Linked DNA regions of Nothobranchius furzeri. The main gene of each other region encodes a partner of the protein of the gene in region 2 in a complex. Links are inferred from orthologs where the notes say so. Each region holds a gene or a part of one and is shown on either strand. Other genes may lie near its edges. The genes, in order: protein FAM8A1, os9 and herpud1.

Region 1 (4,187 bases), on a different chromosome or scaffold from region 2:
ATATCTCCAGTCAGGCGCTTCAGTGGTTTGCCTCATATCTCTCACACAGGAAACAGTTTGTGGTGTGGGATGGGGTTAAATCTCCATATTTAGACTGTGATACAGGAGTTCCTCAAGGATCTGTTCTTGGGCATTTATTGTTCTCTCTTTTTATTAATAACTTACCTGAAGTCTGTCCAGACATATTTGCTCAAATGTATGCGGATGATGCAGTTATATTTACGCAAGCAAACAGTGTCCAGCAGGTGGCAAAAGATCTTACAGCTGCTTTAGCATTAATGCTTAGCTGGCTGGAGGACTCATGCCTAATGTTGAACACCTCAAAAACTGTCTGCATGTTTTTTTCAAAACGCCCCTTAAACTAGAAGCAGTCAAATATATTCCTGGATGGAGTAGAGCTTGATCTAGCACCAGAATTTAAATATCTTGGGGTAATTCTAGACCCAACATTATCCTTCAAGAGTCATATAAATAAAGTGTCCCAGGTACTTAAATTTAATAATCTAAATTTTACTCATATACGTAATAATCTAAATATGAATGTTGCAAAAACTTATTTTTACTCGATGATCATCTCTCATACGGACTATTGTTTGACATCCTGGTCACTTGCTTGTCCAACAACACTTAAAACTAGTGCAAACATTTATAAAAGTTTAAAATTACTTGACAAAAACCGACTTCCCACCACCATTGTCATGTGTTAAAAAACATAAATTACTGAACTTCACTAACTTAATGAAACTTAAAAGAGTCTGTTTAATATATAAAGTCTTACACTCCCTTGCTCCACCACCACTAAAGCAGTTCATTAGGCATAAAGAAAGCTCAAACAGGACTACACGAGCTACAATTCGAGGAGAAATGTTTATACCACATAGACAGACATCTTTTGGGCAGAACGTCCTCTGTCAAGGGTGGCCATCTGTGGAACAGTCTTCCTCAACCCATTAGAGAATGCTCGACTCAAGGCAAAGGTTAAAAACTGGTTATGGACAAATCAAGTGTGTGATCATGTATGAGTTTTATAGTTTTAATGTTTCATTTGTGAATAGAATGGTGTGTATGTGTAAGTTTGGTGAAGGAGTTTTTATTATGAATGAATGATGAATTTTTATGAATTATTATGTCTTTTTATGTCAACAGATGGAAATTAGAATTTTTGGCTATAATCTGGCATGTTTACATTCATGTAAGCTGCTTTATGTTCATTAACATGCACTGTCCAAAATAAACAAATAAATAAAGATAATGCGGTCAAACTGAAACTGTAACAGCGAAACCCTGACCTCCTGTGGCCGTGTCTAGTAGTGCAGCTACTGATTGGACTGTACCACTATGTGCTGAAAAGCGGGGGAGGGGCTGAAGTTCTCCTGCTAAATAAATGCTTTATTAAAAGTTTTCACCTTATAAGCTTTTGTATATCAGCTGTTAACCTCTCATCAAATATGTATAATCGATAACTATTTGTTTTCACTTCTGTTTAGCTTCTTTCTAAATGATTTGGCATCAATGACGTTTTACGACGTTACGGTGCTTGTAAACATGGCGGACATGAACAACAAAGCTGTGGAAGTGGATGAAGGAGAAAATAAACCTTCTGGTAAAGATGTAATCCGTGGTTCAGACAACCAGAAGAAACCTTCCGCTGACGGTGGAACCACAGCGGAGTACTGCGAGAAGCTGCAGACATGGATGTGGCAGTACTACGCTGGCTATGTGAACTGGCAGAGCTGGCTAGCGGCGTCGGCGGTGTCCTGCCCTTATTTACAGCCACCCAGCGGAACCCCCACGGCTGGTGACTGGCATGCCGGCCCACTCGGGCTTCCGTTGTTGCCGTATCCACCTGCGGTCAGCCGAGCGGGTGAAGCCCCCGTCGGCGCTGCCGCGCAGCAGCACCAACCGCCGCCTCAAGCTAACGGAAACGCGCAGAGACCGGGTAAACGCTGCAGCTGGTTCATGTCCAAACGTTCACTTGTGACCACACACCCAAACATGCTCTTCGTTTAATAAAAAGTAGGAGTTACGGTACGGTTCACTACGGGCTGGGATAAGACTGAAAGCTTTTCAGAAGGCCAAATGTATTATTTTATAGTTTGTGACCTGAACGCAACACGAGTAGTGAGTGGCTTTTGCGGCCGGGTTATGACGTCACACCAGGACAGCGATGAATGAAACTTGTGAAGTGAAATAAAGACAAACCGTTGATGAGACATCTAAAGTGTTCACTAAAGCCACGTTTAGCACCTTCTGGAACATTCTGTCGTCGACTCTCTTGTTTTTATTCAGGTTAAACTCCAATTATGACTCAGATGATGACTGAATCAGACCGCGTTGACACTAGTAAGGTTAATGTGACGTTTGTGTCTCACTTTTGGGAAAATAAACCTTGAACGTTTGGTTTCTCAGCCTCTGAAGGACTAAAACTTACCGCTGTGTCTCGCTTCCACCAGGGCGGGAGTACAGCATCCCCTCTCCTCTCCAGAGACTCATGGCGGAGATGGTGGACTTCTTCATCTTGTTTTTCATCAAAGCTTCTATAATCATCAGTATTATGCATCTGAGTGGAATCAAGTGGGTTAATTAGATTTGGTGTAAACAGCGTTGTCATGACAACAGAAACACCATGACCATAACATTTGGATTTTTTTGTCTTTTCCATTGTTTTTAGGGATGTTTCCAAGTTTGCCATGCATTTGATCGTGGAGGAGATCGACGAGGACACGTCGATGGAGGAGCTGCAGAAGATGATGCTTGTTGCTCTAGTGTACCGGATCTTGGTGTGTTTTTATGAGGTGAGGCTCACTGCCGGTTTAGACTCAAGTCTGTGTTTTAAACGTTTTAGGAAGACTCGAGGTGAACTTTCACGCTTTTCTCCTGTCAGATTGTGTGCATCTGGGGAGCAGGAGGTGCCACGCCAGGGAAGTTTCTCCTCGGACTCAGAGTCGTTACGTGTGACTCGTCGGTTCTGGTTCAGCCCAACAGGGTGCTCGTGGTGCCAGCCACTAACGTCTCTCTCTCTGCGTGAGTGGCTCGTTTATGTTTCAGGGAGCTGTCTAAGGAGGCGGTTGGGAAGACTGAACTCTTGTTTCTGTCCGTCCTTCCAGATCAACTGTCCGGGCTTTGAATAAGAACTTCTCCATAGCCTTCTTCTTCCCAGCCTTCATCACACTCCTCTTCTTCCAGCACAACAGGACTGTGTATGATATGGTTGCCGGTACCATCGTTGTCAAGCGATCCAGAGCCAGATGACGCAGAACGGGACGCGTAAAATGACTCTGATGTTTTAGTGAAGCGGCTCCCAGAGCCACTGCTGTGTTCACGCGTCGCAGCAGAGTTCAGGCGTTTGCTGGGAGCCCGCATCCGTAAGAACTGCTTCCGTTCATCGTGACCAGCACTGTTTTTCTGCATGCATGTCCAGATAATGTTTCCGGTGTCTCCTCCTGGACCAACAGGAAGGATGATGGGGATTTAGCCCGTTTTCGGCACAAGTTGCACCTTCACTTCTGTGTGAGGCGAAGGGCGAGTGCCGCCCGCTGCTCAGTATTTAAGCCGCTGATGATTTCGTATTTCACCCCCAGTATCTGGCCGTTTCCGCCGGTCTCCAAAGCGGACGAGAGGTCGTGTAAAATGCAAACACGAAAAGTTCTTTTCTTGGAAAGGTGTGCATAGATTTAGGTTTGATTTGATCCGCCCTGTTTAAGGCTGAGATGGAGGCACATTTAAAGGTTTTTCTCTGTAAGCCGAGGTGTATCGGACGCTAAATGTTAACCGTTTATGTATTTCATTAGCATTTCTGAATGTTCTCTGAATAAAACCAGGCCTGTGGCTCTGAAAGCATGAACTCTTGTGCATTTATACTTTGTGTGAGTTACACGGGCCACGTGTGCTAAAGCAGCACACGTATGGTTGGTTATGTGAGGAATTCTGTTTCCACGTGTTTTCTTCTCACATTCATGTTTTATTTGTGTTTCTAGATAAAAGATTTCCAACGTGCTCTTAGCTTATCGGTTTTGGTTCAGGTCCTGCAGATTGCAGCCTTTCTCCTATGAGTCTAGAGATGTTCTCCACCTTAAACAGCTAAAGCAGCAGGACATCTTTAACTGTCCCACTCATCCTTCTAACTGGGAGTCTAGTCGCCGACTGGTTCTGGGATGCTGTAGCTGTTTGTGTCTCAGCGTCTGTGA
Region 2 (4,065 bases):
GAAACTGTCATGTCGCTGTTTTTAAATCCAAGGGAGAAACGAGCCTAGCCTGCCAGGTCCTTTCTCGGTTCCTCCCTTCCTCCCAACGAGCGCGTACCTGAATAGCTGTATCGCTTGAGTCCATTCAAATACCGGGCCACTGCCCCAGACGTCCTCCGCACTGCACAGCACCCTTGGTTAAACGAGGATTTCCTAATCTTCTGTTCAGCAAATAGAGAGCTGAAACCCCAGAATCGACACGGGCCCACTAGCCTACCTTTAAACACGCCGCATCCATAAAAACGTGACTATTATTAACCGAACGCACCTATGCATCCAGATAAACGCGCATCTCCTGGTTTTGACATTTTCATCGAGAATTCCTGCTGTAATAAAGACCAAAGCATTTTTTTTCTTATGTGAAGATGAGCAAATAGGCTACTCAATGTTCACACAGAGCAGGAAATCCCAAGTAAAAGACGGACAGGCCCTTTTTCCCAATCTGAAGCTTATTAAAATAGAAAAATCCCAGGAATATGCAGCTCACCCCAGTGAAGATGTGTCACCTCCCTCCTTCACCAAGCGCTCCCTTTTTAATGAATGCGTTCCCCAAGAGTCTTGCAAATGGAATTAGATGAAGAAGAAAAAAAGCGGAGCAGAGGCAAATAAAAACGCGGCCGCACATCGCAACACATCGCGCTGTGGAAGAGACTCCCCCTGCAGCAACAGCGGCTGCACAGCAACCGGGGATCCAGAATGAAGTCTGCACCCCACAAAATGTGATTTGTGCTTAAAGATACAAAAGTAACAACAATTGAGTTATTTCTTAAAAACATCAACGTCTTTTAAAAATAAAATTTAAAGTAAGATATGTTGTGTGAGTGGGCGTCTATGCTAATTCATTTTGTGTGTGCTTCTTCCAGGAAATAAGACTCAGTTTATACTGTAATAATAATTAATTTTTAAACTATAGACAAAATAAACGCCTCATTCATTAGACCAATGATGCAGATCTAAATCAGTATGCGTGTGCGTTTATTTTATGTATAGTAAAGTAAAGCGTCAGCAGACAGTTCGGGTGTTGTTCGTTAGTTAGCGGTGCCTGTGTCGCCCGTTTAAATCGTCCCTGTAACAAGAAACTAGTACACACTGGAAGTAAAAAAACTGGTGACTGACATTAAATTCAACCAATCGTAGAGCAACAACTTTGACACTAACCAATCAACGTCTACCATGTCAGGCGTTCTGTGTTTTGATGCTTGTACAGCGCTTGGTGTACGAAGAGTGTTAACGATGGCTGCCTCCTTATTATTGCGGTGGCTGAAGAGACTGTTCCTTTTTGTGTTGATATGCCCCCTCTGTGTTCCAGCCTTCTTGAATTTGGAAGAGTTAAACGAAATGAAATACGGGATTCAAATTCTGTCTGACCCCGTGATATTAGGGCAGGTGAGTGGGGGCTATAGATGCTAACGTGTAGCTTGTTAGCTATAATGTAGGCTACAGCTTGCTAGCGATAAATATATTAATTCCTTTAGGTTATTTAATTACAAATACAAATAACATGTTTGTTTAAGCTCAGCAAGAAACGTTAAGATATTTTGCCAATTCGTGCGAAGACAGAAATTGTTAATTTATGAGCGACAACTGTGACAGCTGTCTTGACAACATGTACACACACACACACACACACACACAAAACACCTGACCAATTAACTACTGCCAATATACTGTGTAGCTTCCCTTTAATTATTACTGGGGTTTCATCACAGTGTTTATTTTTCAGACCAAGACAGAGGAAGTAATGATGGTGTCTAATAAATACAAGCAGCTCTATGAATGTCGACTACCAGCCCAGGCTGTCCGCTTTCACCAGGACCCAGCCTCCGAGCCTGACTCTCAGGCCTACACCGGCCCAGACATCCCAGACCTGCTCAAGCCTATGCACAAATCTCCATGTTTACTAAAGGTATTCTCTCACTTTTCAGGTGTCAATCAATGCTTATTTATGTAATTCGCTTATTAAATACGTATGTAATTAAGTGATTAAGAGCTCTGTACAGACCTCATCACACATACTGTCACCAATTAACAATTGTTTCTTTTCAAATTACATAGTTATAACATTGTGCAGGTGTAATCAAAAAAACGTCAAATACTTTCTGGATTATGATCCCTCAAGCTGCTTTTAAACATTTTTTTAAAGACGTGTGTACTTTTTATTAGTTTACATTCATGTGAGATTACATAATTCACTATGTGGACCAAGATTCAGATCAGAAGTGGCATGAGCTAGATCGACCAACTATCAGTACCAGTCAAATGTTTGAGAGAGACACCTGTCACACACCTGTTTAATATGCAGGTGTTGCCAAACTGTTGACTGCACTATGCAAATGACCTCATTTGAAATTTGCTGTCATTATTTCCTGCAGACAAAAGACTGGTGGACATATGAGTTTTGCCATAGTAAACATATCCAACAGTACCACCTTGAAGGTAAAAATATTCTGATTAAGCATTCTTAATTGACTTATTTTTCTAATGACAAATTGTGGGCAAATTATAAATACAAAGGGCAGTTTGCCTGCTGTAAACTTACATATTTATCAGACCTTTTTGAGTGTTGTGTTTTTATCCAGGTCTTCTAATGGATGGATGGATGTGCATGTAACTAAGAAACAAGAGAATTGCTTTCATATAACCATGTTGTTTTCAGTAATGCTGCAATTTAGCCAATACTTTTACTAACTTCATTGTGTTTTATTAAAAGACAAAAATATCTGGGAACTCATCTGGATTCACATCATTAGGATATGAACTGCAGTCAACCTGACCTGTAGATTATACGCTACTGTCTATTTAAAAAATCTGTGTCTTAAGTAAAATGTTTTTTACACTTTCTCTGATGTTATTTTTAAACATCTTACAGACAGCTAACTGTGAATCCTCCTCTCTCAGTAAAAATATCCTGCTAGTTTGTGTTTGTGCTTGTCTTTAGTGTGATCACTGAGACAGGATTGTGCCTGGTATATCAGTCAAGCCACTAAAAGCTGATTCTGTTTACCGTTCATCTGTGCATTTCTAGAAAAAAAAAACAAGTTAAACTTGTGTTCTTACACTTATAGTAGCTGTGCACCTTCTGACAGTTAAAGATTCAAAAGTCTTTAACACACGGAGAAATGTTGACATAACATTTTTGCAAACTTGTATAAGTCTAAAAATACATTTTCCAGGTCTGATTATCGTCTGCATGTTTTTAAGACATGTTTGTGACTGATGTTCTTTTTTTTTAGACACAGAAATCAATGGGGGTGTTCTTTATCTGGGATTTTATGAGTCTGAATTTGACTGGAACAATGAAACGGCAAAGGTAAAGTTGTCTTTATTAACTACAAAAACTAAGAAATAAAACAACTAACTACAGACCCAGGGATATTAGGCAACTTTTTCATATTTTTACATCATTTTCTATATGTGCTAAAATGACCCTTTACAGGGTTAATGAAATTTCACTCAGACCCCCATCACACTCTGTGGCCAGAATACCGCATTTTTAACATTAGAGTGTCGGTCCAGTTTGTTGGACTTTAAAAAAAAAACACTGGAGCTGACCAACCTGGGGTTGCAGTCTGCTTTCAGCATGTTTCCTGCATGTTTTAGATCACGAACACAGCTGATTTGTTTAATTTAGTGCTGGATCACTCCTGTAGACATTAATGAAGGCTGGGGAGACATTTCATCTGTTTGATTAAGGTGTTAAAAAGAGGAATGCACATTAAGTAGATGTCTTTTGTTTTTGGTTCTTCTAAACAGACACTACAGGTGCTAAAAGCAAGCCAAAACACCCAATCTCCCTTTAAATGTAGGCCTCTTCAAACACTGTTGACAGAAAATGCTCAGAAATATCTGTATGTGCTCTTAAAGTTGCCTCTTTATGAGATAAATGACTGTAGGATATGCATTCAGTTTTCCTTCTTTTTTTTTTTTTTTACTTAGCTTCTGTGTGTTTTGTGACATTAAAACCAAATAGCAGTTTTACAATTGCTAAAGACGATAACAGATTTCATTATTTAAGGCACTGGTTCT
Region 3 (4,056 bases), on a different chromosome or scaffold from region 2:
CATTTTCGTCAGCTCGCTGGTGTCGTTTTACAGCCGATCCAAATGGAACAGTAGAGTCTGACCCGGAAAACCTCCATAACAATCAATCCATGAAATATTATCCTGTCCCACATTTATTAAACTAACGGGAATCTGAGGATTTGGGAATTAGAGGCTGTTTATCAGAAGAGGTTGATTTATAAACGTATTCTAGAGACATTAAATAATTGCAATGTTTGAAAACTGTTCATTTGTGATGGTGAACGGTTTGATGTAAATATGTTCAACCTGATATTCAGGTGGGTGTTAAGATGAATCTAGACAAGGGCTTTTCAGTTCTGGTCCCTGAGGGCTACTACCTGTTTGTTTTCTATGTTTAGCTTCACCAACACACCTGGTTTGATTTACATGCGTGATTAACAAACAGAACAGGTAATTCAGGTGTGCTGGAGATGGGGGATGGCTGCAACATGCAGCGCACCAGGACCAGAATTGAACCCCACTGATCTAGACGAACTTGGATAAAAAAAAAAATAATAATAAAATAAAATCTGAATACAGACCTGTCTGAAGAGCTCTTTGATGAGTAGATGATCTGGGAGCAGTTTGCCAGCGAAGATCAGCCTCTGATCGCACACGGCCTTTAAAAAACACAAACAAGTTAGTTTATGAGGTTCATGTTCTTTAACACAGCCCGAGCCAGCTCACAAATATAAACACACATGGCGAATTACCCAGAGGTTACACGGTCTTGATCAGTAATCATTAACTTTACATGGAAACTAAGCATTTATCTCACAGCACCTGATGGTTGGACAGGTCTTATCAGCTAACTGCACCCTTTCATCTCTCTGATCATCCCTTCATCTTCTGGGAGTCTGAAGGAACATCACACCTTGTGAATTTGCTACTTACAATACAAAAACAACAGATTAACAACAGAGGCTCAATAAACCAATAAGAATATTCTTCCCATGGGCTCACCACTCGTGGGAGGGGCCAAAGGGGTCGGGTGCAGTGTGTGTCGGGTGGTAGTCGAGGGCGGGGACCTTGGTGGTCTGATCCTCGGCTACAGAAGCTGGCTCTTGGCACATGGAGTGTCACCTCTCTGGTGGGGAAGGAGCCTGAGTTGGTGTGTGAGGCTGAGAGGTTCCGACTAGATATAGTCAGACTCTCCTCAACGCATGGCTCTGGCTCTAGAACCAGTTTCCTTGAGAGGGGTTGGACTTTCTACCAGTCTGGAGTTGCTCCCACTGAGAGGCGCCGAGCAGGGGTGGGCATACTAGTTGCCCCCCATCTTGGTGCCTGTACGTTGGGGTTTACCCCAGTGAATGAGAGGGTAGAGAGCTGAGTCAGAAGGAGAAGCTCTCGATTTACCGGTCGATCTACGTTCCTACCCTCACCTATGGTCATGAGCGGTCATGGTAGTGACCGAAAGGACAAGATCGCGGATACAAGCGGCCAAAATAAGTCTTCTATGAAGAGTGGCTGGGCTCTCTCATATGGGCCATTCCCATCTGTACCGGGTCGGCCCGGGCCGGGTAGCGTAGGTTGTTTACATATCTGGGTGGCCTGGTACTTTTCCGGGCCAACCAAGGCTCATTCTCAGCCCTCTTCTCGAGGGGGTCTGCTTCAGGCCGACCAGGGCCAACACACCCACTGCTGACAGCAAATTCACACCTTCCATTAGAGCAAGCCTCTGATTGGTGGGTAGAATCAGCCCACATGGGCTTAAGGCAAGGATGTGTGGAATCAACTGGGCCAGGCTGGGGCCGACTGGGGCTACCCGGCCCGGGCCGACCCGGTACAGATGGGAATGGCCCATTAGAGATAGGGAGAGAAGCTCGGCCATTCGGGAGGGGCTCGGAGTAGACTCGCTGCTCCTCCACGTCGAGAGGAGCCAGTTGAGGTGGCTCGGGTATCTGGTCAGGATATCTCCTGGAAGCCTCCCTGGTGAGGTTTTGTGGGCACGTCCAACCAGGAGGAGACCTAAAGGAAGACCCAGGACACGCTGGAGGGACTATGTCTCTCACCTGGCCAGGGAACACCTTGGGATTCCCCCGGAGGAGCTGGCCCAAGTGGCTGGGGAGAGGGAAGTCTGGGCCTCTCGACTTAGGCTACTGCCTCCGCGACCCGACTCCGGATTAGCGGATGAAAATGGATAAATGGATGGAAGATTATTTTTCATACCATACCTTGTGCTATAAGAGCTTAATTAGTAAAAAATAGAAACCTAATTTTGCTGCCGTGAATCTCTAAAAATACATGTTGAGCTAAATTTAACCTAAGTGAGATCCCTGAACAGATCATTTCTGAGGAAATTAAATAAAAACAAACATCTACTGGCCCATAAAGACAGAGGAATGGCTGACAGCTGTTAAATTCGCAGCTGGTCTGGGGTCCAAACATTCCACAACACACCCTTTAGCCAAGTTCCGCTAACAGTTGTCGGCTAACTTTAAACTCACCGGTTTGGTTTTGTAGACAGTCGACAAATACGTCTTCAGGTCCTTCACGGTCCACCTCAAGTGGACCCCTTCTATTATCTGGTCCTCCTGAGCCTCGTTGGGCGTTTTGATGAGCAGACTGGTCGTCTTTTGTTGCGAATCTCCCACGTCCATTTCCACTCTTCTTCTCACTCGATGTAGACTCGGGCTAAAGCTGATGCTATTCACAATAATGTTCTTCAGAAACGAATAAAACTGTTCTGACTGAAACAACGTGTGGAAAGACGGGAATAAAATCAGCGCTAAACCACTAACAAACAGTGAAAGTTCGGTCAGTGTTTATTCTAGAAATGTCTCTGCAGCTCGTCATACGGGACTTTAGAAGAGGAAGGTCGTGTTTCCAAACACACGGTGGCCGCTTCTGATTGGTTACAGGCTGCTCGCGCTCTGACGTGGAGTCTGGTGGAAAAATCAGCCCCTGTGAGCATGCGCAAAAGAAAGTAGTTTCATAGATCGTTAATTTTTGTCTGAGATGTACACTCGGATTTAAATTTAATGAAATATTCTGAATAATAATAATAAAAACAACCAAAAGACACAATAAAATCTAAAAGAAAGATGGATAAATTAGGTAAATTAAATACATTTTTTGTTATATACATTAAGTTATAATTTTTAACTGTTTTTCTACGAGACATACAATTACCAGTTTTGTTGCTTGGAAAGAGAGTAAGACATCTTTCTTTTTTTTACTCCCTGATCAGAAAAGATCATTTCAGTGAAATTACATAACAAATGTTGCATCAGCAAGTCAAGCCATTGACTGCTAAAGACAAATTAAAGTTTTTGAAATTGAGGTATTTTCATTCAGGTTTTTACATTTTATTATGACCAAATTAGGTAAAAGAAAGAAAACGATCATTTATATAGCACCTCAAGATAAAAATCACGAGGCGGTTAAGATACAACTGGGTCTGTGCAGTAATGTTTACCATTAACAACTTTATGCTTGAAGTAAAAATAATTTTGTAAACCTTGGATATTTGGGATTTTGGTACCTTTGTGACTAATTTGAGCTCAATAGCATGTTGTGCTGAAGGCCAACATGCTTAAAACACAGGAAAGTGGAGGATAAAAGATTTGTCAGCCTAATAATCTCCAGCATGAAAAAGACAAACATTCAAAATAGAAAAGTCGCAAATACAGAACCTGAAAGATGCATCACCATGACTTTCTGTTTGATATCAAATTAAAATTGTTGTAAATAAGGAAAGGCTGCTGACATTTGCACTGTTTTACATTTTGAAAATATGTGAATTAAAACAAAGAAATAAAATCTTTTATATTGTGCCTCACAAGATAAAAATGACAAAGCGCTTCACAAGAAAATATAATTTAAAACTTATTGAAAAAAAGATAAAAAAAATATCGTAACGGAATGAAATGACTGTTTTCCACCAAAAGTCATTTCCCCCTCTCCTCTGACACAGAACTAGTCTGCATGAGATACGGCCTCAAGGTCTCATGCATTTGCTATAAACTGCTTCTTTCCAGCTCAAGAGAAGAATGAAGAACGGACTCTCTCCTTTTAATAAATCAAAGAACTCTATTTTAATAAAGCTATTAGCTA

Evidence for each region.
Region 1: os9 (region 2) and protein FAM8A1 share a complex: the UniProt entries of both Homo sapiens proteins name them as parts of the HRD1 complex. The link is inferred for Nothobranchius furzeri from reciprocal best matches to the Homo sapiens genes OS9 and FAM8A1.
Region 3: os9 (region 2) and herpud1 share a complex: the UniProt entries of both Homo sapiens proteins name them as parts of the HRD1 complex. The link is inferred for Nothobranchius furzeri from reciprocal best matches to the Homo sapiens genes OS9 and HERPUD1.

The regions. Positions count from the first base shown.
Region 1 is NC_091745.1:80,669,206-80,673,392, reverse strand, and holds protein FAM8A1, read left to right. Parts: upstream 1-1,366; 5' UTR 1,367-1,512; coding exon 1,513-1,939; intron 1,940-2,431; exon of another isoform or gene 2,432-2,453; coding exon 2,454-2,574; intron 2,575-2,671; coding exon 2,672-2,795; intron 2,796-2,884; coding exon 2,885-3,024; intron 3,025-3,107; coding exon 3,108-3,252; 3' UTR 3,253-3,844; downstream 3,845-4,187. UniProt on the Homo sapiens protein: Plays a role in the assembly of the HRD1 complex, a complex involved in the ubiquitin-proteasome-dependent process of ER-associated degradation (ERAD).
Region 2 is NC_091743.1:48,732,314-48,736,378, forward strand, and holds the start of os9 (protein OS-9), read left to right. Parts: upstream 1-1,221; 5' UTR 1,222-1,272; coding exon 1,273-1,425; intron 1,426-1,762; coding exon 1,763-1,945; intron 1,946-2,411; coding exon 2,412-2,475; intron 2,476-3,272; coding exon 3,273-3,349; intron 3,350-4,065. UniProt on the Homo sapiens protein: Lectin component of the HRD1 complex, which functions in endoplasmic reticulum (ER) quality control and ER-associated degradation (ERAD).
Region 3 is NC_091744.1:85,515,368-85,519,423, reverse strand, and holds the start of herpud1 (homocysteine-responsive endoplasmic reticulum-resident ubiquitin-like domain member 1 protein), read right to left. Parts: upstream 2,842-4,056; 5' UTR 2,601-2,841; coding exon 2,448-2,600; intron 621-2,447; coding exon 543-620; intron 1-542. UniProt on the Homo sapiens protein: Component of the endoplasmic reticulum quality control (ERQC) system also called ER-associated degradation (ERAD) involved in ubiquitin-dependent degradation of misfolded endoplasmic reticulum proteins.